Coturnix japonica: one gene and its partners. The protein of the gene in region 2 interacts with the protein of the main gene of each other region in a pairwise test. Links are inferred from orthologs where the notes say so. Each region holds a gene or a part of one and is shown on either strand. Other genes may lie near its edges. The genes, in order: RASSF5, STK4 and SAV1.

Region 1 (7,797 bases), on a different chromosome or scaffold from region 2:
AGCCCAGGGCAGGAAGGGCTGCATCCAAAGGAGGAGATGGCAAAACCAGCCCCAGTGCTGTTGCTGCCCCTTTTGCCCTCCTGCTACTCTCAGCCCCATCCCAGCACTGCTGATGGTTGTGTGGGCACAGGAAGCTGAGGGAGGTTTCTCTGTTTTGGTGTATTTTTCTAAGTATAACTGAGAATTCTTTAACATCCGCCTCCTACCTTTAATTTGTGGGGTAAAATAGTGGAGATGGCAAAGCTGGGCTGCAGCAGGGATGGAGGCAGGAATGGGGATAACAGGATCCAGCAAAGCCCTGGGATGACTCCAGGGTTCAGAGGTGCCTCTGCAAGGAGAGGCCAGGCCATGGTCTGGACAAGCAGGTCTGACTCAATGCTGGGAGGCTCAGAAGGAGCCTGTCTGAACCCATCCCATTATGTTCTATGGAGGTGATGTATTCCAGCTCAGCCCAAAGCCTCCAGCTGAGGCTCACAGGGCTGCTCAGCTCTAGGAACTCCAGGTTGTCCCCAGCCCAGGATTGGGATGATGCACAGAGGGAGAGTAGCACCCAGTGCTGCTCCTTGCATTGACAATGGGGAATATTCCCTCATTCCCCTATATGCCTATAGGGAGGGATGTGATGCAGATCTTGCTGCCTGGCTCTCAGCATGGACACAGGGGGAGCAGGGAGCAGTGGCTCCAGTCTGTCCTGGCTTCATTTTCATGTAGGAACAGGAGAGTCAGGAGCTGCCCCTGTACAGGAAACCACTTTCTTAGTGGTATTTGGCACCAAATCTGTATATTCCCATTCATTTTAATTGTAAAAACCAACATCCCGACTGCCAAACCCAACCGCTTGCTGTGGAAGCAGTGGAGCAAAGCCACCTCTTAAAAGCTTCTCTCCTGCAAATTATTTCCTAGGGTTCTCCCAGCTTCACAACCAGCATTTCACTGAACCCAGGTCCATTGGAGCTGTGCTGATGTGGACCATGTGAGTGTTTGACCTGGAACGTGGTTGGCTTCAAAAGGAAGGATTTATTTCTTGGCGTGCACCAAAAGGAAGAGCTGCTAATAGCCCTTCAGCTGCCATAATGCAGCAGCTGCAAAGAGGACTCCCAGAATCTAAATGAAATAGGGATTTTCTTGCCTGTGTTCATCAGGATTTAGTTTTTCCCCCCCCCGAATTCTCAACCCTGCTCCTGTTTTCCTGCATTAGCTGAAAACCTGCTGAGGAAGCAGAGAATGGCAGTGAATCTGCTCTATCTCCCAGTCTGGAAGGAGAACAGATAAAACATCCCTCTATGGGGAAAACCATTTACCCAAGGACAAATCTGCTGCTGGTCTCATGCAGAAGTAGAGGATGCATGAAAGTGAATCAGGATCCTGAATGGGGAAAAAAAAGACCTTCCAATATGAGTCATGTTACTTAACAAACAAAAATGGGATTTTTCAAGCTGTATTATTGCTCCTTTCATTTTAGGCTCTTATTAGGGGTTGCCTATTGCAATCGTCTTTTGTAACTCAGAGCCAGATCCATCCTTCAATTTAAATTATTTCAAAGGGATTTAAGCATCTTTGGCTCATCCCATCCTCAGAAACTCGCTTTGTCTCTTTGTCATCAGGCCTTCAGAGCAGCACCTGATCCAAACACCCTCATCTCTGCACCCCAAAAGCATTGCAAATGGGCGTCCTCAGAGCTGCAGTGCTGGAACCTGTACAGAAGAGAGAGACTCCAGAATCTGCCCATCATATTTTCCCTTTCACTTCTCCCACAACCACAAAAGCCTCATCTGGGAGAGTTTAATTGCTTGGGCTCTCAGCCCTCAGCATCACTCCGGTGCCCTGCTGTCATTTCAGAGGGGAAAAGGTAATTTGTTCCAGCTGTCTGTGCAGCCTGGTCCATGCTCTGTGCAGGAGGGTCTGTGTCTTCAGCTCAGTGTATAAAGCAGCACCTGAGAGGTGATCGCCCTGATTCTGTAGGGGCAAAACCTGGGATGGGGATGGGGATGGGATGGGATAGAAGGGGATGGGATGGGATGGGATGGGATAGAAGGGGATGGGATGGGGATGGGGATGGGATGGGGATGGGGATGGGATGGGATGGGGTGCTTCTGCGCTCCTGCAGTGTCCACTGGGAACAGCTTTATGCTGCACGCTGCTCACCCCATTTGCACAGCCGGGATTAGGGTGATGTATGCGTGCAACGTCCCCGGTCCCGAGAGGAGGAGCGTCCCGTGGGGAGCGGTTACACAACAGTGTGGGTTGGGATTCCATGGGGAAATCCTAAAGGGGGGTGGAGAAGGGGGGAAGAAAGAGAGGGGGGGGGGGGGGGGTTTACGACTGCGATGGATCCTATGGGAGGAACCGCTGCTCCGGGAGGGTCACCACGAGAAGATCCCACGCGGGGCCGCTCCCCGCACCACCCCCCCCTATATCAGTGTCTCCTCCCCGGGGCGGCCCAATGCACCCGCCCTGCCCCGCTCCTCCCGGCCACACCGCCAGCCCGGAGCCCGCAGAGCGGCGTGCCGTGCCGTGCGGTGCCGTGCCGTGCCCACCCGTGGGGCCGAGCCCCTCGCCTGGCTCCATGCGGCGGGGTCCACCCGGCCCCGCTCCCCCCTGCCCGGGGAGCCCCGGCGGTGTCAGGGCAGCTCGACGGCTGCGGAGGCGCGGAGGGTCCCCTCGGCTTTTGCCCGACGTGCGCAACATCTTCTCGGCTCCTCGAGAAGCGGCGGAACGAGCCCACGGTCACGGTCACGGTCACGGTCACGGTCACCGCTTCGTCCCCCGCGTCCCTCGCTGCGGTTGGTGCGATCTGTGCGGAGCTGCCGTGCGGGATCGTGCCCTGCGCTGCGAATGTGAGTGCTGCTGCCGTCCCGCAGTTCCATCCCGCACCGCATCCATCACCCTGCCCTACTCCCCACCAACTCCATGCCCCCCTCACCCCCAGCCCCGTGTCCCCCCGCAGAGCTGTCCCCCGTGGGGTGCGGATCCGTGCGGGGGATGCGGGACTTGGGGTTTTTTTTTCCTCCGGGGAAGATGGGATTATCGGCTCATCGGGGCGGAATGGCTCGTGGTTGTGCCGCCTTACGGTGGAGCTAAATCCTTCCAGGAATAGCACGTTGGGAATATCTCCTTTAGGTTCTTTGGGCAGTGAGCAGTGGGAGCTCTCTAGGAAGACTCGCTGTGCTCCCATCGGGTGCATTAAGATTTAGTTCTGCAGGAAGGGTTGGCGTTCCCATCGTGTTTAAGGGGTTGGGAAGAGGGGGTGGGAGTGAATGGGGTGTCCTGGGTCAGACGCAGCCCATGTGCATCACTGTGTGAGGGGTGGCATAAGGACCAAGCAGTGAGTTACAGGCAGCAGAAGTCGAACCTGTTGCCTTGTTATTCCATATCTTCTGAATGGGGAAAGGGCTTTACATCCTATAGACTATGAGCAGTGCCTGGGGGCGGCGCTCCTCCTGCCCCAGCCCTGTGCCCAGCTGATGTTTTCAGGTAACTGAGGGAGCATCCCGATCTGACACGTTAATTGGCAGCACTTTGTGATGCTGTGAGTGCTATAAAAGGGGTGTTTTGAGGGATTTCTTTCCCAGGGCTCTTTTACGAGTGATATTGAAAGAAGCCTGCAGTGCTTGCTTCCCTTTTCGTTTCTTCTGAGAGCTGTCAGGCTGTGGGAATAGATCAGCCTCTAAAATTCCCCAAACAACGACGTGTTATCGCTGGGGGGAGGGAGAGAAACTTCAGTGGGACTCTTAGAACATCAGCACCCATCGCCCTCCCCCTCCTCCTGCAGCACATCCGTTTCTGTTGGGGTTTTTTTCTTGCTGTTTGTTCAGGTGGGGCGGAACGTAGATGTTGGAATGTGAAGGTGACAACGCAGCTTCCAAGTCTGTGCTGAGATTTATTTGGGTTCTAAGCAGGGATATCCGGGGTCGGGGGTGGTTCTGGAAGCAGAAACTCCTGCTCCTTCCCCTTATCCCCTGCATTATGGGCTGGGCTTTTCCCTCAGGCATTTTCCAGCCTTAGGTCCTCTCTCATCCTGGCAGCTCAGGGCATGACTTACAGCCCTTGTATTTCCTGGGCTGTGCTTATCAAACTGCCCTATGGGGTGAGCTGGGTGTGCCCTGCATGGGTTTGTCCCATAGACCCGATCCCTCCCCAGGACATCATGTCACCCCACCAGCACTCAATGAGGTTTCCTTGCAGGACAATGGCACAGCTCAGTCTGTGTTCCAGCACTGTTGGATCAGGACCCATTTCATTGAGAAGAAAGCTGGCACAACACACAGCACTTTGCTTTCTAGCTTGTAAACTGCAGCTCTGCCATTACAGGTTCTGGAGTGGCTGTTTAATTATCAGTGCTCAGTAGCAGGTGTGGATGCTCCCAGCTGGGCTCTGGGATGGGGTCTCTGCCCACACCTGCAGCACTTTAAGTGTGAGGTTTTCCCATGTCTCCTCCCTGCGTGTCCCTCCCATTTCTGCTCTCATCACTGTAAACAATAATTGCCACCAGGAGCCACAGTTTTGGGGCTTCCTTAGTCTGGTTTGGGCAGATTCTTGTTCTCCCAGCAGCAGAGGATGAGGGTGGTGGGGAAGGTGCAGGGCAGGGCACAGGGATCAGGTCTATGGGGCAGGGCACAGCAGGTATTGCTCACTGGGGGACTCAGCATTGGCAGGCTGCTATTCTGGGGGGGGCTCAGGTCCTTGGGTCACCCTTTGCTGCTGCCTTCCCATCCTGTGCTTATGGAGGAAGACACCAATGGAGGCTTTGGTTCACCAGGTGAGGTTTGGGTTGTTTCTTCCTTTCCTGGTCCTGTAGCTGGGCTTGGTGGTCTGGGTTGGGAAGAAGGGATGTGTGTGAGCTGCAGGGTTGGGGGATGCTGAGGGGTGAGGAAGGAATTACTTTGTATTATCCTGTGCTGCTTGGTGTGATGTTTGGATTTAGTGAGCTTTTATCTCTGCAAATTAATGGATGAAATGGGTAGAGTGTGTTGTGTGGGATGCTGGAAACCTGCCCCATGGGTGAGGGGATGGCTGTGATACAGAATGGGGAGGTTTTAAAGCCCTTTGTTGGGTGATGGGATGGATACGAGCATCATCCAGCACCTCACGTGGCTAGAAAGGATGGATGCTACAGGAAAACTGCAGCACTGATCCAAAAACCTGGCAGGGCTCATGTCAGTATTGCTCACATTGCTGATCTCAGTGTATTTCTTTAATGTTTCATTCAATATTGGAGGCTTTAGACAACCACAAGGGAACAGCAGTGAAGTGGGGATGTTAGAAAGGGACCTCCCAGCTCAGCCAGCTCCTGCTCTCCCTTCTAATCTCTTCCGTTGGGTCTTTTTATCTTATCAAGTAAGAAAAAGAAAAAGCCCCCGAAATAGAAACTTTTCCATGGTGAACAGGACGAGCCCTGAGGTGTGTTAAGCCCCGAGCTGTGCAATGGGCTCCACTGTGCTCTAAATATATAAATAAATGTATCCGTCAAATAGATTCACCGATGGCTCATGTCAATGCTTTATCTCCATGGGATAAGGCTGTGGAGGCAGGCGCTGCTCTGCGCAGTGCTGTGCTGCCTTGGGAGTGTTGGTCCCCCTGCTGAGGATGTCGGAGGGCAGAGCAGAGGCTGCTGTTTGCTTTGGGTTCATTGCAAAGAGAATCCGCAAAGTATTCAGGCACTTTTTCAAGTCCAAGTCTTGCTCCGAGGGACCGCAGAGGCTGAGCAGGGAGGGCTCATTGCTGAGAGGTAGGGGCTGTGTTTGGGTGTCTGTTGGTTGCTGTTGTTAATGAAGGGGGGTAATGGGGTTCCATAGAGCACAGCTGGAAGTGCTTCATGCCTCAGCAGGGAAGCTGCTCCATTAAGAAGCAATGGCTTTAGAGCATCACCCACCCAGTGGCTGCTTTGTGCTCCTGTCCCAGCTTGGTGCAATGGCTGGGGTTACCCTATGAAGCTGGACAGCTTTGAAGAGCATTATATCAAAGGATGCCAATGGCACACAGGGCTGGGCAGGGTGACTGCAAGCTGCGCTTAGGCAGATGGATGAGCACCCAGATGGGGTTCAGTTGCACATCCAATGTTATCACTCTGATAAGCTTTATCTGCATGCAGAGGGAAGTTCCTTTCAGCTACTAAAGTTTCTTGCTATGTTGTGATCAGACTCGAGGGTTTTCTTTACTTAAAGAAGCTGTTTCCAGCGGTGGCTTTGTTTGACTCGAATAGAAATGATCTCACGGCCGCAATGGAGGCATCCTGCCCCATCACGTGGCTGCTTCCCAGGGCTGTGCTGGGCTTCTAAAATTAGTGCTGCCCACCAGATAGTGGTGATTAGGGCTGCTAATAGGCGGCGGTGACTAAGGAGGTGTCATGCTGTAATCCTAAGGGGGAAATGCCTGGCTGTGATGGGGGTGGACTCAGTGATTTGTGGTCTGTATTTCACACTACAGACTGCTCCCCATTGTGGGTGCTCCATCATTCCCATCCTACATGCCGTGCATGGGGACATCTGAATGTGATGCCTTTGGGGGCTGCTGTGTTGGTTGCTCAGGTGGGGCTGCAATCACAGCCTGCTGTGCTTGGCACCTTGCAGCATAGAGCTGGCAAATGTCCCACTGAGCAGCTGCTCCAGCTGTTTGAAAGGTCATGCATTGCATTACCATGCAACTGCTTGGCTTATCCCTCATTAAAATTAAGAGGGGGGAAAAAAATCAATCAGAAGACCCCCTTGCTTGCCTCCCAGCCTTGAGACAACCAGCTGGAAATGGTAGGATGGCAGCTGGTGTCAATTGAATGCTAAGCAATCAATGGTTCCTCTGAGGGAGATACTCAGGCACTGCGTGAATGCTCTGCTCCTGCTTGGGAATTCCTTGATAGGGGCAGAGATCTGATTCTATGGGATGTCACTTTGCTTTCTGCAAGTCCAAGGGGTTCAAAAGCAATGACCCAAGTGCCCAAAAATAATAGAGGGAAAGGCAGGTTTTCTTGTAGAGGGGGCCTCTGCAATGCTGAGGGTGTTGGTTTTGGGGAGGAGTGGGTGCTGGGTGGCCAACAGGTCAATGACTGCACTGGAATTGTGGGTTGTGTAAGAAATAATTGATTGAATGCTGTTTGTGGGGCTGTTAAAAATTAAAAGGGCTGTTGGAGTGGGGGGAGCACTCAGAGGGGCTGGATGTGGCTGCAGACAGCACCCATGGGTGTTGGTAGAGCGCAATGGGGAGGACATGGGGCTTCTGGCTGCTCTCCCATCACAGCACGGCTCTGTTCTCTCCCAGATTGCAGGTACACGTGCCATCAGCAATGCTGCAGCCTCGTCCAGCTGGACTGCCGCCGGCCTGACCCCGGGCAGCTCTCTCCTGTGGGCACCATTGTGCTCCCCTGCAGCCAGGTATGCCCTCATGGTGGTCAGCCTCTTTCCCAAAGCCCATTTCTTTGCTCTTAGCAGGGTGAGATTTCATTGCAGAGGTCGGCCCGTGGCCCTAATTGATGCTTGCTAATAAATTCCCTGTGCATCTTGCTTCTGTGCCCATCATCTGAAAAGGGAATAGGTGCCAGAATACACTGGGGAAATGGAGAACAGCACACTGGAAGGGTGGGAAATGCCGTGGCTGGTGTAGTTGGCAGCCAGTAAATAGTATTATCAAATGTAAGCAAAGCAGGAGCATCGGAGAAAGTTAGTAAAGTCCTGTTGGCACTTCATACCAAGCATTAATAATATGGGCCTTGATCCAGCAAAGTACTTAAGTGTGTTGTGTTTAGGTCCCAGATTGCTCTCCCTGGGTGCAGTGCAGCCAGCACAGCCTCTGCCTGGCTCAACCCTG
Region 2 (6,217 bases):
CACACTGCTGGTCACAGTGGGACAAACCGACGCAGACAGATCTGCAGAGGGGTACAAATGGCTTGATTCCTTTCACAGCAATGGAGTATATCTGTTAACAGTAGTCAGCAGTCTGCTGCAAGCAGGGAACAAGAGCCTCTCGAGGCATGGAATGAGCAGCATTTGAGTCAGGAGACAGTGCTGTTTAGTTGAATTACCTGTGGGATGTACCAAGGCCTGTTTCAGAGGATGACATGGAAACTCTTCTCTCCATCAGAGCAAAACAAAAATAAATTGGTAAGAACACATGGTTCTATTCAAATATTTCACCATAAAGCCATGCAGAGGCATTACTCGCTCTGTGCCCGGATTGGGGCTCACCTCACACTGCTCCTCAGCTCCACCACTGGGAGCGAACTGCATCATCCTCAGTGATTGTACATGCAGGGCATCTTCAGCCACCGACCCACGTTAGGAAATTGAATGAGAAAGGAGGGACTGGAAGAGAACAAATCTCTTCCCAGACACCGGCCATTGGGACATCAGCCATTGGCCTCTATGGATCAGCTCTGCCTCCACTCCATCTGACAACACACATCTCTGATACCCCAACAAATGTTTGCTTTCAGTTTAACTTTTTGACGTGCTAAGCCTGGCAGAAAGGTGAAGGATTGTGAAGGTTTTATTCCAGCACCTAAAGAGGTCAATTTGAAATGATGGAGCGTATGAAATATGTCACAAACTGCACAGCCCTTTCAGTGCTCTCAGACGCAGCACAAGTACCAAATTCTGAGGGAGGTTCACCTGACTTCCACCCATTCACACACTGTGCCCTCCCAGCACTCTGCTGTCAGCAGGAGGACATTTTCAAAGGGACAGATGAAGGGGAACCTGCTCTGTTTCAGGTCCGACCACCGATTGGCTTTCGGCCTTAAGTCAATGTGGGTTTTACATTACAGAACGTAACTTCTGGAGGCACAACACACTTCACCTACTGGTATTAATTCCTAACGTACATAAGCAAAGAACAAAACCAAGGTCTTGAAGAAATCCCACTCACGCAAAGCACAAAGTGTAAGGCATGGGGCTTATTACAGGCTGTTTAAAAATGAGATTTAAGTGTCTTCCAAAATGCTGGGCCAGTTTGCAGGTGTTCTCATCTACTCTCTTCAGCGACCTAAAACTTATCAGTACCTTAACAGCAGAACCATACAGTCATCAGCTTGAAACAGTCTGTGCATTCACAAAGGACAACAGAAACAACAAAAAATAAACCACAACAGATGCAGCCGTTAAATACACAATTCATATTAACTTAAGGGAAACAGAGTATGGAAAGGTTCATATGAAAGGAGAGTGAGCCATCTTCCATCGGTTTATTTCTATCCGCTCATCTGATTTAAAAATAATCCATCTAAAAACAGTAACAAAACTCCTTCGGATACTGCTTTAAATATGTGCCTAAATTAAAACACACCACGAGGATTCTCCATTCAATGGCATTCCTGAGTTCACAAAGGTGCTATGGAAAAATAAATGAGCAGAAGTATTGCCCTCTATTTTGCTAGCGTATTTCAATAGAAATCAACCTGTTTAGTAGTCATAGAAGCAAGGAGCTGATTGCTGGAGGCTGGAAGGACATTCTACCCGTGGCTCAGAAGTTCTGCTGCCGCCGCTTCTTGGCTTCGATGGCATCGAGGATGGGCTGCCGCTTGGACTGATACTTCTGACGGATCTCCTCAATCTCCTGCTCCATCATGGGGTCCAGCGCTGACAGCCTCCTCTGCAGCTCATCCACACTCCACGTCTTCAGCTGCCAGGGAGAGGAAACAAAAGATATGGGCATCAGAAGTGAAAGCGCACACAACTGCAGGTACCTCTGTACACACAGGTTGAACATCAGAGCTTAGTGGTCCTCTCCAGCCTTAATGACTTTATGATTAATATGAAAAAAACCTGGAAGTATATTACCTGTGCAGGTAGGTGATGCAGAACCAGGCTGCTGCTCATGGGTTAAGCAGAAGGGAGGTGTTTGGGAGGGAGGAGAGGGAAGTCAATGCACTGACAGTGCTCACACAGAGCAGGGGAAGGGGAGCAAGGCTGCCTGGCCCCAATCCCACATGTCATCTTCTCACTTGCACATGCATCTTTGAATGGAAAAACAGGAGTGCTTAGAACCTGACAGTCTCCATTTCACTTTGCTGCATGGCCTTGCCCTATAAACCAGCCCCACAGACACATTTTCTCCTGGAAATGAAGTTTTTAAAGGCTGGCACATCTGTCTCCATAGGGTTAGGCTTCAGGGATAGCAACATCATTCTCTTAATGAAGCGCCAGGAGCAAAGTAAGAAGAGGACAAGGACAGAGCATCCCATGATGCTCAGGGCGAAGTCTCAGCGCTGATAAGCTGCAATTAGAGCTGGGCTCAGCCCTGGGGCTCAGCCCCATCCCCTCCTCACTCCTCAGCGATTCTTCTCTGGTAAAGAGCCCAAATGCCTTTGTCAGAGCTATCTATTTTCATCCGCCGTGATCAAACAGCTATGACAACCTTTTAAAGAAAGGAACTGCATTTCAAATGTAAAGGCTGATATCAAACACTTGTTCTAAGGCTGGTGTCTTACAATGAAATGTATCTTGCAACAAGGAGAAGGGGTAGAGCAGGGAAATGTTCAAGCAAGGTCCCATGTGCACCAAGCTAACTTTTAACTATTTGAATAACAGCTTTCTTCCTATGCAAGGTTGTGAGGCACCATTTCTTCCTCCAAGTAACAGATCCACAAGCTGACATCCCTCTGCAAGCAGTTCAGACACTGATAACAAATTCACTGCACAGTGCTCACCTCAGCAAACTGCCTCCCCGAGTCACCATCCTTTCAAATCAGCATATAAAGAAAATATATCATAAAAAAAGTCACTCCTAACATTTGTTACAGTTCAGGCAAGTGTGGCTGCAACACAATATTCTGAATGCAACTGAATGTGAGCAAAAGGGGAACATTTTGATCTCTGCAGGAATGTCAGACCCTTTTCCTGCAGCAGGGACAGCAGCACGGTCAGTTTGGGGCCCAGCATAGCAGTCCGCTGCCTCGAGCCAGCCCAAACCACTGCCATAAATACAGTGCTGCCCAGCATCCCACCTCAGCTCCCATTCCTAGTGCTCCTCTTGCAAAAAAGACTGCCAAGAACGTCCATTTGCTGCATGAATTATAAGCATCAGACAGAAAGGAGCCATTTCCCAGCAGCTGTAACACTCTTCCCTCCCAGTGTAACATTCCAACGGAGAACAAACTCCTGCCACCTCTCCACTGGGGTCACAGGAACCCCAAGCACTGCCCTCCTGCAGCTTTTCCCTTTCCCTTGTTGATGCTGCATCTGATCCAGAGATTTAATGCAAAGCCTTTTCTTTGCATCTCCCCCACTGTGCACAACACATCGGCTTTGTTTTCCAACACTCTCTTAAAATTCCTGAAGCTGATGCCCAATGTGAACCCATCCATCACCAGAGAGGGGCTGCAGTTATCCTATCACCTCACAGATCTGCAGACGGATGCTGCCTTCTGGAGCACAAGCAGAATATAAATGCCATAAGTGAGATGGGGTTATTTCCTCACGGTGAAAACATCTGAGCAGCCCTGCAGAATTACCACCAGCAGCTGTGGGCTGTTTAGGAAGCGAACACCAGCTACCAGCCTGCCTTCAACCCCAACGTTCCAGGTGGCACCCACTGCTCAGCATAACTTGATGTCGACTTCCAAGTTTTAAATAGACCTTTGAAAAAGTGGCTTGAGCGTTTCTCACTTCATAAGGGGCAGTGGGAGTTTGAAGACTGAAATACAGAAATAATGAAACTGCAGCTTCCCACGCCACACAGGGAAAAGACATCAGCTAGATGGGAACTAAAGAAAAAACATAATTCTCGCTCGAGCATAGCTTTTGTTGTTCCCCCTCCCCTTTCTGCCTGGTTTTACACCGCTGTTTAACAATTCTTGACTGCACACCCAGAGATCAAAGCCCCTAAACAAACTCAAAGCAAGGAGCACAATGCTCTGCATGCAGGCAGGAAATGCTGAGCATGGCTTCAGAAGGCTGCCCATCCAAAAGAAGTTCTCCAAGCCATGCTAAATAGCCCATGCCATAAAGGAGTTTGCTGCTATAGATGATGAAAAACCACCACTACTGATATAACAAACCTCAGAATTAGTATAAACTTTCAGATTAAAATGAGTTTGATAGAAGCAGCATATGCACATGCACATGCAGACATTGTGGAACCTGCTGAGATCACGGGGTATCTAAGGATGTTTGCCAGCTCCTGGGTGCCACAGGCATTACGTGTCAGCAGGGTTCTGATTTGCAGAGGAATATGGAAGTCGAGGCTATATATAAAGGACCAGACACTCCAAAATCAGACAAGGCACTTAGGAACAGCAGCCACCTGGATAACACCAAACCACCTGAGAGCTGCTCCAACTACGTGGTAATGAAATCATTAGGGACAAAGAGCAGGAAGGAACAAGGCACAGCAACAGCCAGGCTAAAGGAACAACAGCAGCAATGCTATCAGGACATTTCCCTTCCAATAAATCCTAGGGCAATGCTTACGCTTTGCAGTCAGGATCCGGCAACTCCATCTGACGCACATCCACCTCAACTTCCCAACTCTTCTTTTATCACCTCCTCAAGTAGAGTTTCATTTTTGGGCAGCAGACACTCATTGGGTGCTACATGCAGCTATTTGTGGCAGCACCTCGGAGCACAGCGCTGCGTGTGAGAGCAGCCCAGGAGCTGGGGAGAGCTGTCAGAGATCACAGCCCATGGACACGAGCTCTGAGAGCTGTAAGAACTCGGGTTATTCTGGAATTAGCCTTCTACAACCTGAAAGGCTGTTTAAGTGCAGTATCAATTAAACGCTCATACCAAATACACCCAGAGGAAACAGATCACTGCACAGTACTATGCACCTTTTCTTTTTTTTTAAGACAGCAAAAAAAGCATTCAATTTCTCAGGCCAAAATGAAATGAAGAGGGTGATTTCTCATGCTAAGCAGTGCTCTGGAGTCTAGGTCCTGAAAATGCTGATATAAATTGGTGTTGGAATAGCATGCCATTTTCCCTTAGCGTTTTTCCTGAAATGCTGGCTCAGTCCCATTTGGCATCCTTTCAATCACTGATCTAAAAATTAAGTGCCTTGTTCTCATTTATGTTCCCAGCGTTAGAAGGCCTTGATGGAACGTACGAGCAGGCATTAACCAGTTATTCACCGTAACCTTGTGTCCAATGCAAGGGACATGGGGACCTTAAGAACCTGCAGGCACTCCTGCCCACTTCTCATCCTGATTATCAGGTCCCCACAACCTCACACATCTGTAGCCTGCAGCCATGCCACAGACAGGCTTCAGTAAATCACAACCCCAGCCCCAACACAAACATTAACTACCTCGATTCCCCCCCTCCCTTTTTAGCATGAGAAGTTTCATATTGTTATGAAAGCAGAGGATGAAATGCACTCACGGTGGGATTTCATGCAAGATTAAAAATACAGATATTAATCTTTCAAAGGATTTGAAAAATAAGTCTCAGCAGCACAAGCTTCTGCTTTTAATGCACCTTAATTATTTAACAAAACACACCGTGGGCTGCAAAACATCCAGCACAAGTCAAACAGCACCGTGGCCAGAATTTACCAAAGAAAGGGACTGTGGTGAGATGCAGTGAGTGCACATTTGGAGACAGTAATTTCAGATCACCCTGTGTGGACAAGAGATGACTCCGCACAAGAGAGATGACCCCAACTTTCAAGCAGATCATTGCGAGCTTCAGAGGCCAAGACAACCCAAGTCAGTGCAAAGCAATCAGCTGCAGCAGTAACATGGCAACGTGCCTTTTTGGGGAGGACAGGCAGACACTAATGCACTCAGCACTCAATCCTAGCTGAAGTGAAAAGAAGTGTTTTAGAAGTGTACTGGAGAAGACCCAGCCCTTCTCTGCTGGTGTGCTTAGGACAGCTGTATCTCACTTCTGCAGCAGTGGAGATTTAAGGTTCCTGGTAGTCCCAGTACAACACCAGTAAGGATGCGAGCTATCTGACACATGGCTCTGCTGATACGATTGCAATAAAGGTGCCTGATCCCAGTGCATGTGGAGTAACTGGAAACCACTTCCCCTCTGGCCCGCTCACTGCCAGGCAGGGCTAGCTCTGAGCAGGACCTCCTTCCAGCTCAGCTCAGCAAGGCTGCTA
Region 3 (7,471 bases), on a different chromosome or scaffold from region 2:
GGGAGCTCTAGGGTAACCTATGGAAGGTGACTTTCACTCAGCAGTGTGGCTGTAAGGGATGTTACCTTTGTCTACAGGGTTACCTGCCACTCAGAGGGCTGCAGGACTGAGCTGCACTTGCTGGGTATGACCTCCTCTTCTCCTCCTCCATTGCCTTATGGAAACAGACATACCGTAGTGGCAGAATGTCTTGGAGGAACAAAAAAATTCCTTTTAAATGATTTCACTGCTCTGCTGTTGTAAATGCCCACACAGGCTATTTGGCTGCGTAATCTCAGAGATTTACATATCCTGATTTTCACAGGCTGCAAAAACATTTTGACAGATCTCACTGATGTGAGTTGGAGCTTGGTTTTCTAATTTGAAGTCAAGAGATCCATCTTCTTTGTATTATTAATCTGGAAGTGGTAACAGTTGTAATCATAGAACATTTGGGTTGGAAGGGACCCTTCAAGGCCCTCTGGTCCCACTCCCTGCAATGCACAGGGACACCCACAGCTCCATCCGTGCTCACAGCCCATCCCCTGACCCTGGTTGTCTGCAGGGATGGGGCAGCACCACCTCTCTGGGCAGCCTGTGCCAGTGCTTCATGTTACACCTCTGTGTGTGGGTACCAGGGCTGTGTGTTAGCAGTGTGGTAACTGAGCACACCTTGAACCATGCTTACACGAAGGAAATGAGCAAAGTTTGAAAATATTTCCTGGAAACACCACAGTTATGGTTCAGATGATCAGAACTGTGTTTGGAAATGCATTATTAGCTACTACATATTAACACCACTCCATATATTGCCCAGGGAGTGCTGGGCTCACCATCCCTGGGGGTGCTCCATTGCTGTGGGGATGTGGCACTGAGGGACGTGGGCAGTGGGCACAGTGGGGTGGGCTGGGTTGGGCTTGGGGGTCCTGGAGGGCTTTTCCAACCTGAATGGTTCTGTGATTCTACAAAAACAAGGGAGCCAAGCTTGATGTTAGCACTGGAATACAGGGGAGAAGCAGAGAAAAGGGATTCTATCTGTTCCTCTTCTCTCCCTATCCTGTCTCATCCACGTTTCTTTCTTCCAAACACCATCCTAACCACAGGAAAGGACTGGAGAATGATGGAGGAGAAACACAGTAGACAAAAAACCCAAATCTCATTGGAATGCTTGTGCGAATGAGTTCTCAGAAGTGCCTTTTGTCATTTCTATGCTGTACCGCTTTTGTTGCTGCAGGACAATTCAGGACAAACCCTTCCCAGGTGGGGGGAATGGTCACGGTGCTCCAACCAGTGTTGTGTTGCTTGTTGTGTCAGCTCAAGGGATAAGCAGCTCATCCCACAGTGTCAAGGCTACTGAAAATAAGCATAGAAACATGCAAACGTGCAAAGCATTTTGTGGTCTTTTGTGCATGAATGTGTCTCCTATGCACTACAGGCATTTTTCAGATACCAAAGTATTTAGCGATGTGGTAAGTCACTGAATTTCTGGGCCTCCTTGGTACAGCAGGGCTCGCCTGTTTGGCTATCAGTAACTGCACGGCCAGAAGGTGTTTTCAATGCTTTCAACTCTCATTTTATGAATCACTGTGAGAATAAAGGCATGTGGGTATCCAGGGCTGGAGTCTGGGGAGCAGGAGGGGGCAGAGGAATCGCACTCGTGTTAAATGGACGTGAGCTGAATTCACACCATTGAAGTACTACATGTCAATTTAGGATGGTATAAAAGCATGCTTTGCTACCTATATTCCCATTGCTACTTTGGGTACAAAGCAAATTGAATTAGTTCAGTTCTGGCTGGAAAAGGAAGGGTTGTAACATACTTTTAGCCAATGAATAGGCGAGGTGGAGCTGGGGACAGCCCAGCTCTGTCCATTACAACACAAACAGCATCACCAGCCCTCAGGTGTTCCATGCCTTCCTGCTGTGTGTGATGCTGGCACTGCTGACCTGTCTAATGCATAAATGGAAACAGTTGGTCTTTGGGTACGCTTGTTTTTGCTGCGCGTCGTCATGTGCTGACCTTACACCACCACGTGAAGGGGAAGGAGGGACCAAGCTGTGTGTTATTTATCATGAATGTAAAGAAATGAAATAAATCACTGTCAGATCCCTGCTTGTGGCTGGTTGTTTCCCATCCTTTATGGCAGGGCTGGGTGATGAATCTCGAACCAAGCAGAGTGCTGTACCGCCACACTCCTTCCGCTAGAGGGCGCTGTGACCGCGCCACCGCGACGCTCTGTCCCCGTCGTTCCTCCCGTCTCGTCTCCTCCCCAGGCGGGGCCGCCGCCCCACAACGCCCCGCGCCTAACGGCCCCGCCGCCCGCCCCACACACGGCCCCGCTGTGAGCCCGAGGGCGGCCCGGCCCTGCCCGAGCGGAGCCGGGTATGCGGGCGTTGGGAGCGGGCCGGGAGGAGGAGGTGGGATGTTGTCGAGGAAGAAAACGCGGGCGGAGCTGTCGAAGCCCGGCGAGGTGCAGGGGAAGTACGTGAAGAAGGAGACCAGCCCGCTGCTCCGCAGTGAGTGCCGTGCCGTGCCGTGCCGTGCCGTGCCGTGCCGTGCCGTGCCGTGGGCTCCACACGGCCGCGTTGTTCCCCCTCAGCCCGGCGCTCAGCTGCGCCCTCGCCCGGCCCGGCCCGCACCGAGCTCAGGGCTGGGGCTGGGCGGGGGGAGACACCGCGCTGCGGCCTGGGGGGGCTCTGTAATAAACGGGGGGGGTTGGGGCTCCGTGAGCCTTGAGCTCCCTCCCAAGCCGGGCCGCGCTTTGATTGTGTGATTGAGCTGGTGAGGTGTTGATAGGGCGGGATTCACGGGGCTTGGGCTGGATCTTGGTGTAACGGAGAGGTTTAGAGCCTGACTGATAAGGGGTGGGAGCTGTTTGTGTTGGCTTCTTTGGCTGTTAAACTGCGCTTCTTTGGCAATAGCTTCTGTTGCACATGGAGGGTGTGATGGCTTTTGTTGCTGCAGCCCTACTGTTACGCTGCTACACTGAGAGGTGCTTTAAGGGGGCTCTGGCATCAGAATGGAGTTACTTCCATGCTGTAAGTCAGACACTTTGGCTCGCCAAATACCATAAGTGCGTACAAAGCTCTCATTTCCTTTCTCTGCTGTACCAGATCTGATGCCTTCCTTTATCCGTCACGGTCCGACCATTCCAAGACGAACTGACATCTGCCCTCCCGACCCGAGTCCTTCTGCTTATGGCTCTGCTGGAGATGGAGCTGTTTCCAGAAACCAGAGTTTCCTTCGGACGCCGGTGCAGAGGGCGCCCCATGAAATAATGAGGCGTGAAAGCAACAGACTGTCTGCACCTTCCTACTTTGCTCGAAGTTTAGCTGACGTCGCTAGAGAATACGGCTCTTCCTCACAGTCCTTTCTGACAGAAACCAACTCGGTTATGGAAAATGGAGATGCCGGCACACGTTGTTACTATTATGATCACTTCTATGATGCCCAGAGGAGACGGCAATTGAATGATCGCTTGCATGAGGACTGCAGGTATTATGAGCACGGTGGGGAGCTTTTCCAGAGGATGGCTCACAACCATGGGAGGCGCATGTCAGGTGAGGATGGGTTCATTGTGCCCTTCACATATCACTGAACAGCTTTAGGTACATAGGATCCCAGAATGGCCTGGGTTGCAAAGGCCCACAGTGCTCATCCAGCTCCAACCCCTGCTGTGTGCAGCGTCACCAACCAGCAGCCCAGGCTGCCCAGAGCCACATCCAGCCTGGCCTTGAATGCCTGCAGGGATGGGGCATCCACAGCCTCCTTGGGCAACCTGTTCCAGTGCGTCACCACCCTCTGGGGGAAAAACTTCCTCCTAAGATCCAACCTGAACCTCCCCTGTCTCAGTTTCAAACCATTCCCCCTTGTCCTGTCACTGCCCACCCTCACAGTTGTTCCCCCTCCTGTTTATACACTCCCTTCAAGTATTGGATGCCCACTATGAGGTCTCCTTTCAGTCTTCTCTTCTCCAAGCTAAACAAGCCCAGAATATCATTGTGTCATTTGATTTTTGTTAATTTTATAATGAATTATTTATTGTGAAACAATGAGTAATGACTGTTTTGTGTAATCAGCAAATTGATGTGTAGTTAGTGCTAAAATTCACTTCCTAGTGTCTGAATTCTTTTTGGCTTATAATATTGTAATATTGTGAAGACAGGCTACAGGAGCTGGGTTTGTTCAGCATGGAGAAGAGAAGGCTGCGGGGTGACCTCAGTGCAGCCTGCCAGGACCTAAAGGGAGCCTACAGACAGGAGGGGAGACAACTCTTTACAAGGGCAGATAACAGCAGGACAAGGGGAAATGGTTTGGAGTTGAAGGAGGGAAGATTTAGATTGGATGTCAGGGGGAAGTTCTTTACTGTGAGAGCGGTGAGGTGCTGGAACAGCTGCCCAGAGAGGCTGTGGATGCCCCGTCCATCCCTGGAGCTGTTCAAGGCCAGGTTGGATGGGGCCCTGGGCAGCCTGGGCTGGTATCAATGTGGAGGTTGGTGACTCTGCCTGTGGTGGGGGGTTGGAGCTTCATGATCCTTGTGGTCCCTTCCAACCCAGGTCATTCCATGTCATTGAGGAAGAGTCATGATCACACACTTTCAGGGACCTGCTGCATTTTTCTTATGGAACAAGAGAATCAGAAAAGAAATCCCTTCAGTATTTGTTTTTGAAGTATTTGGTTATCTGTGATGACACAGAAGAGTCTTTTGTATGTCATGCTGCTGTCAATGTACTGAAAGAAGAAATGTGAGATGTCAGTGTTACCCATAGAACTGTGACCTTGCAGGCGGTGTTTGAGTGGTGTTTCTACTGCTGAAATGATGCTCAGGGAGGAGTTTGAGAGCAGCACTCCAGACCTTTAAATAATGCAGTGAAATATGCTGTTAGTTCATTGTTATTTGCAATCTGCTGGTAAAATTGTCAGCACTGAACTTGTGGGTGGAGCTAAAAAGCTGACAATGCTTTGCTGGTGGTGTTTGGTTTTTAATACAGAGATGTTCCATTGAAGCATGGCAGGAGAGCAGTGCTGGCATCGCTGCTGCCAGGCAGTGCAGATTGAGATGCTGATGTTTAAGACTTGCTGCTTCATCCTTAACTTTGCTCAGTGCTGCCTAATTACATCAGTTCTATTTAGACTGTGTGAAAACCCCTCCATCTCTGCTGGCTGCTCATCATTAAGCACGGATCTGTTTGTCTCCAGGCATTCTTAGCCTTTGGAAAACAAGGAGCTGCTGATGTGTGCTTGGTCTTTGTCACCTGTGTATGTTTGCAGTCAATAGCTTGGGCAGATTTGACATATTTCATAATGGATGGGCATTCAGTCTTGCTTATATGCAGGAAATAATCCAGAGGTGAACCTCTTGTCTGCCAACACGTTATCCTTTGTTTTCTTCTCTTTTTTCCTTTCATCTCAACACAGGATGTGGACTCTTAAGCTCCACCTGTAGTTTCACTGCAGTAAGAATGTTACCCTCTGTCCTCTGTATGTCCTCATGTCCTCTGAGTCCGTGGCACTTTGTATCAGTAGAATATGGTGTAGTCAAGAATAAGAAAGCCTCATATCTCCTTATTTCTTTCCCCTCGCTGTTAAGCTCAGTCTGATTTCAGCCACCCGTTGTTCTGCAGCCTTGTTTCTCTTGAGCAACACCAGTCCCTCTAATGGCCAGTTCCTCCCTCCTTATCTCCAGCACAGAGTCAGGCCTTCTGGATCCCTTGCCTCGTCTGGATCACCTTCCCTACGTGTTTCCATCCCTGTTTGTAAGCGTTTCATCTGAATGGAGCTCTTCACAAAGTACATCGCAATGTCTCCTCATTGACATCTTCACACTCAGATTGTTCAGCAAAGTATTCAAGCAAATATCTTGATTTTTTCCAAGAGGTGACAATGTGGCATTGCATTGGTGTTCCTCCTTCAAGTCATGTTCTCTCTGATTTGTTTCTCCATCAGATTTGTTTTAATCACTAACTAGTGTGAGTGTTGTTCCTCAGAAGTGCCCTCAGCTGCTTCCCAGGGCTGTTTGGTTACCTCTATGGCATTTCTTGATATATATCAATATATTTAATTTTATTTCTCTAAGTGTTGGTTTCAAACTGTATTCTAAGAGTCTTTACCCATCTTCCCTCGCCATCTCTGTCCTTTCTTCTAGGTGAAAGGTTTGGGGAGGTCTGTGGTTGAAGTTCTGTCTACATTATAGATTGGAACTAACTTGTAAGCAAGACCTGAGTTTCTGTGTACCTGTTTGAGTGGTAAGCGGAGCACTTCTTACATGTGAATGGCAGTTCTGAGCTTGAAATCCCAGTGTACTCTGGGGAGAAGCCATACAGCCAGAGGTGATGCTGCTACAGAAGCAGAGCTGCCTTTCCAGCAACATATGGTTTGCTTTTTGGCCTGCTTCTCATAGTAGTTCTCTGTGTGATCAGGTGCTGGCTTCCTATTTCCCTGAGCCCATCTTCCTGCCTTCTCTGGCTCTTGTTTGAGCAGACACAGGCCTTGTGGCAGCAGAACTTGTGGGGCAGAGGGTGGTTCACTGCCTGTTTGTCATCCTGCTGTGGGCAGCTTCATTAGTACCAGCCTTAAAGCATTAAAAAACTTTCACCTTTACCCCATGATACAAATCCGTTTGTATTTGCTGCTGCAATCATGAAGGAATTCGAGTGGGAGGAACTCTTTAAAAAGCACAGCAAGGCAAAACACTGACAGGGTGAGCAGCAAAATACGTTTATACCTCTATGAAAACTCTTTCCCTTTGTCAGGTCTGGGTATTCAGGTTGGTGGTGGTTTAATATTTGTTGTTTGTTTGTTCTTTTTACCCAAAGTGCAGTGTTTTCAAGAAACTTCAGTGTTGGTATTTTGTCATTGGAATGCAAACAAAACCAGTGGTGTAACCATGGCCAGGGCCTAAAATGCTTTCCATGGCCCCAGCATGGCTAAAGGTCAGGCAGCAGCCCTCATGTTCCTTCTCATTGGAAGTAAAGGGCTGAGTTGCTTAATCCTAATGAGGGATGGAGCTGCCACGTGAACACAGCTATTAGCTTGTCTTCATAAAGCTACCAAGTGGGTGAGCACTCCAACAAGGGGAGGAACATGGAGGCTGTGTAATCCAGAGCACACCAAGGCCAGAAATGGGTTTGAAGGTGAGCTGATGTCTTCTGCAGGGCAGAACTCAGGAGGAACTTCCTGCATTTACTGCTTCTCTTCGTTGTGTTGCTTTGAAACCTGCCCACTGCATTGGTGGGGACTTGGATCTGTCACTGGAATCACAGCCCAGCCAGTTCTTAATCTGCCATTCTGCAGGTAACCAGTACTTACACAGGTGGCTTCCTCTGTCTGCTGCACTGTGGGCAGTGTGTGCACTGATAGAAAGGGCCATTCCTGTGGTCCACCAACAAGAGACTGGAACTCCCTGAGAAATATAAGAGCTTTGCTGTTGTCTGAGTTAATGTCTGTACCTAACAGGCTGTGCCTTTTCCCTCCACTCAGGAATAAGTGCAC

Evidence for each region.
Region 1: the proteins of STK4 (region 2) and RASSF5 interact in binary tests that used the Homo sapiens proteins (3 or more experiments, as listed by UniProt). The link is inferred for Coturnix japonica from reciprocal best matches to the Homo sapiens genes STK4 and RASSF5.
Region 3: the proteins of STK4 (region 2) and SAV1 interact in binary tests that used the Homo sapiens proteins (3 or more experiments, as listed by UniProt). The link is inferred for Coturnix japonica from reciprocal best matches to the Homo sapiens genes STK4 and SAV1.

The regions. Positions count from the first base shown.
Region 1 is NC_029541.1:2,733,314-2,741,110, forward strand, and holds the start of RASSF5 (ras association domain-containing protein 5), read left to right. Parts: upstream 1-2,408; 5' UTR 2,409-2,443; coding exon 2,444-2,837; intron 2,838-7,251; coding exon 7,252-7,364; intron 7,365-7,797. UniProt on the Homo sapiens protein: Potential tumor suppressor. Seems to be involved in lymphocyte adhesion by linking RAP1A activation upon T-cell receptor or chemokine stimulation to integrin activation.
Region 2 is NC_029535.1:4,550,835-4,557,051, forward strand, and holds part of STK4 (serine/threonine-protein kinase 4), read right to left. Parts: intron 1,793-6,217; coding exon 1,634-1,792; 3' UTR 1-1,633. UniProt on the Homo sapiens protein: Stress-activated, pro-apoptotic kinase which, following caspase-cleavage, enters the nucleus and induces chromatin condensation followed by internucleosomal DNA fragmentation.
Region 3 is NC_029520.1:52,522,540-52,530,010, reverse strand, and holds the start of SAV1 (protein salvador homolog 1), read left to right. Parts: upstream 1-2,259; 5' UTR 2,260-2,402; coding exon 2,403-2,496; intron 2,497-3,093; coding exon 3,094-3,540; intron 3,541-7,471. UniProt on the Homo sapiens protein: Regulator of STK3/MST2 and STK4/MST1 in the Hippo signaling pathway which plays a pivotal role in organ size control and tumor suppression by restricting proliferation and promoting apoptosis.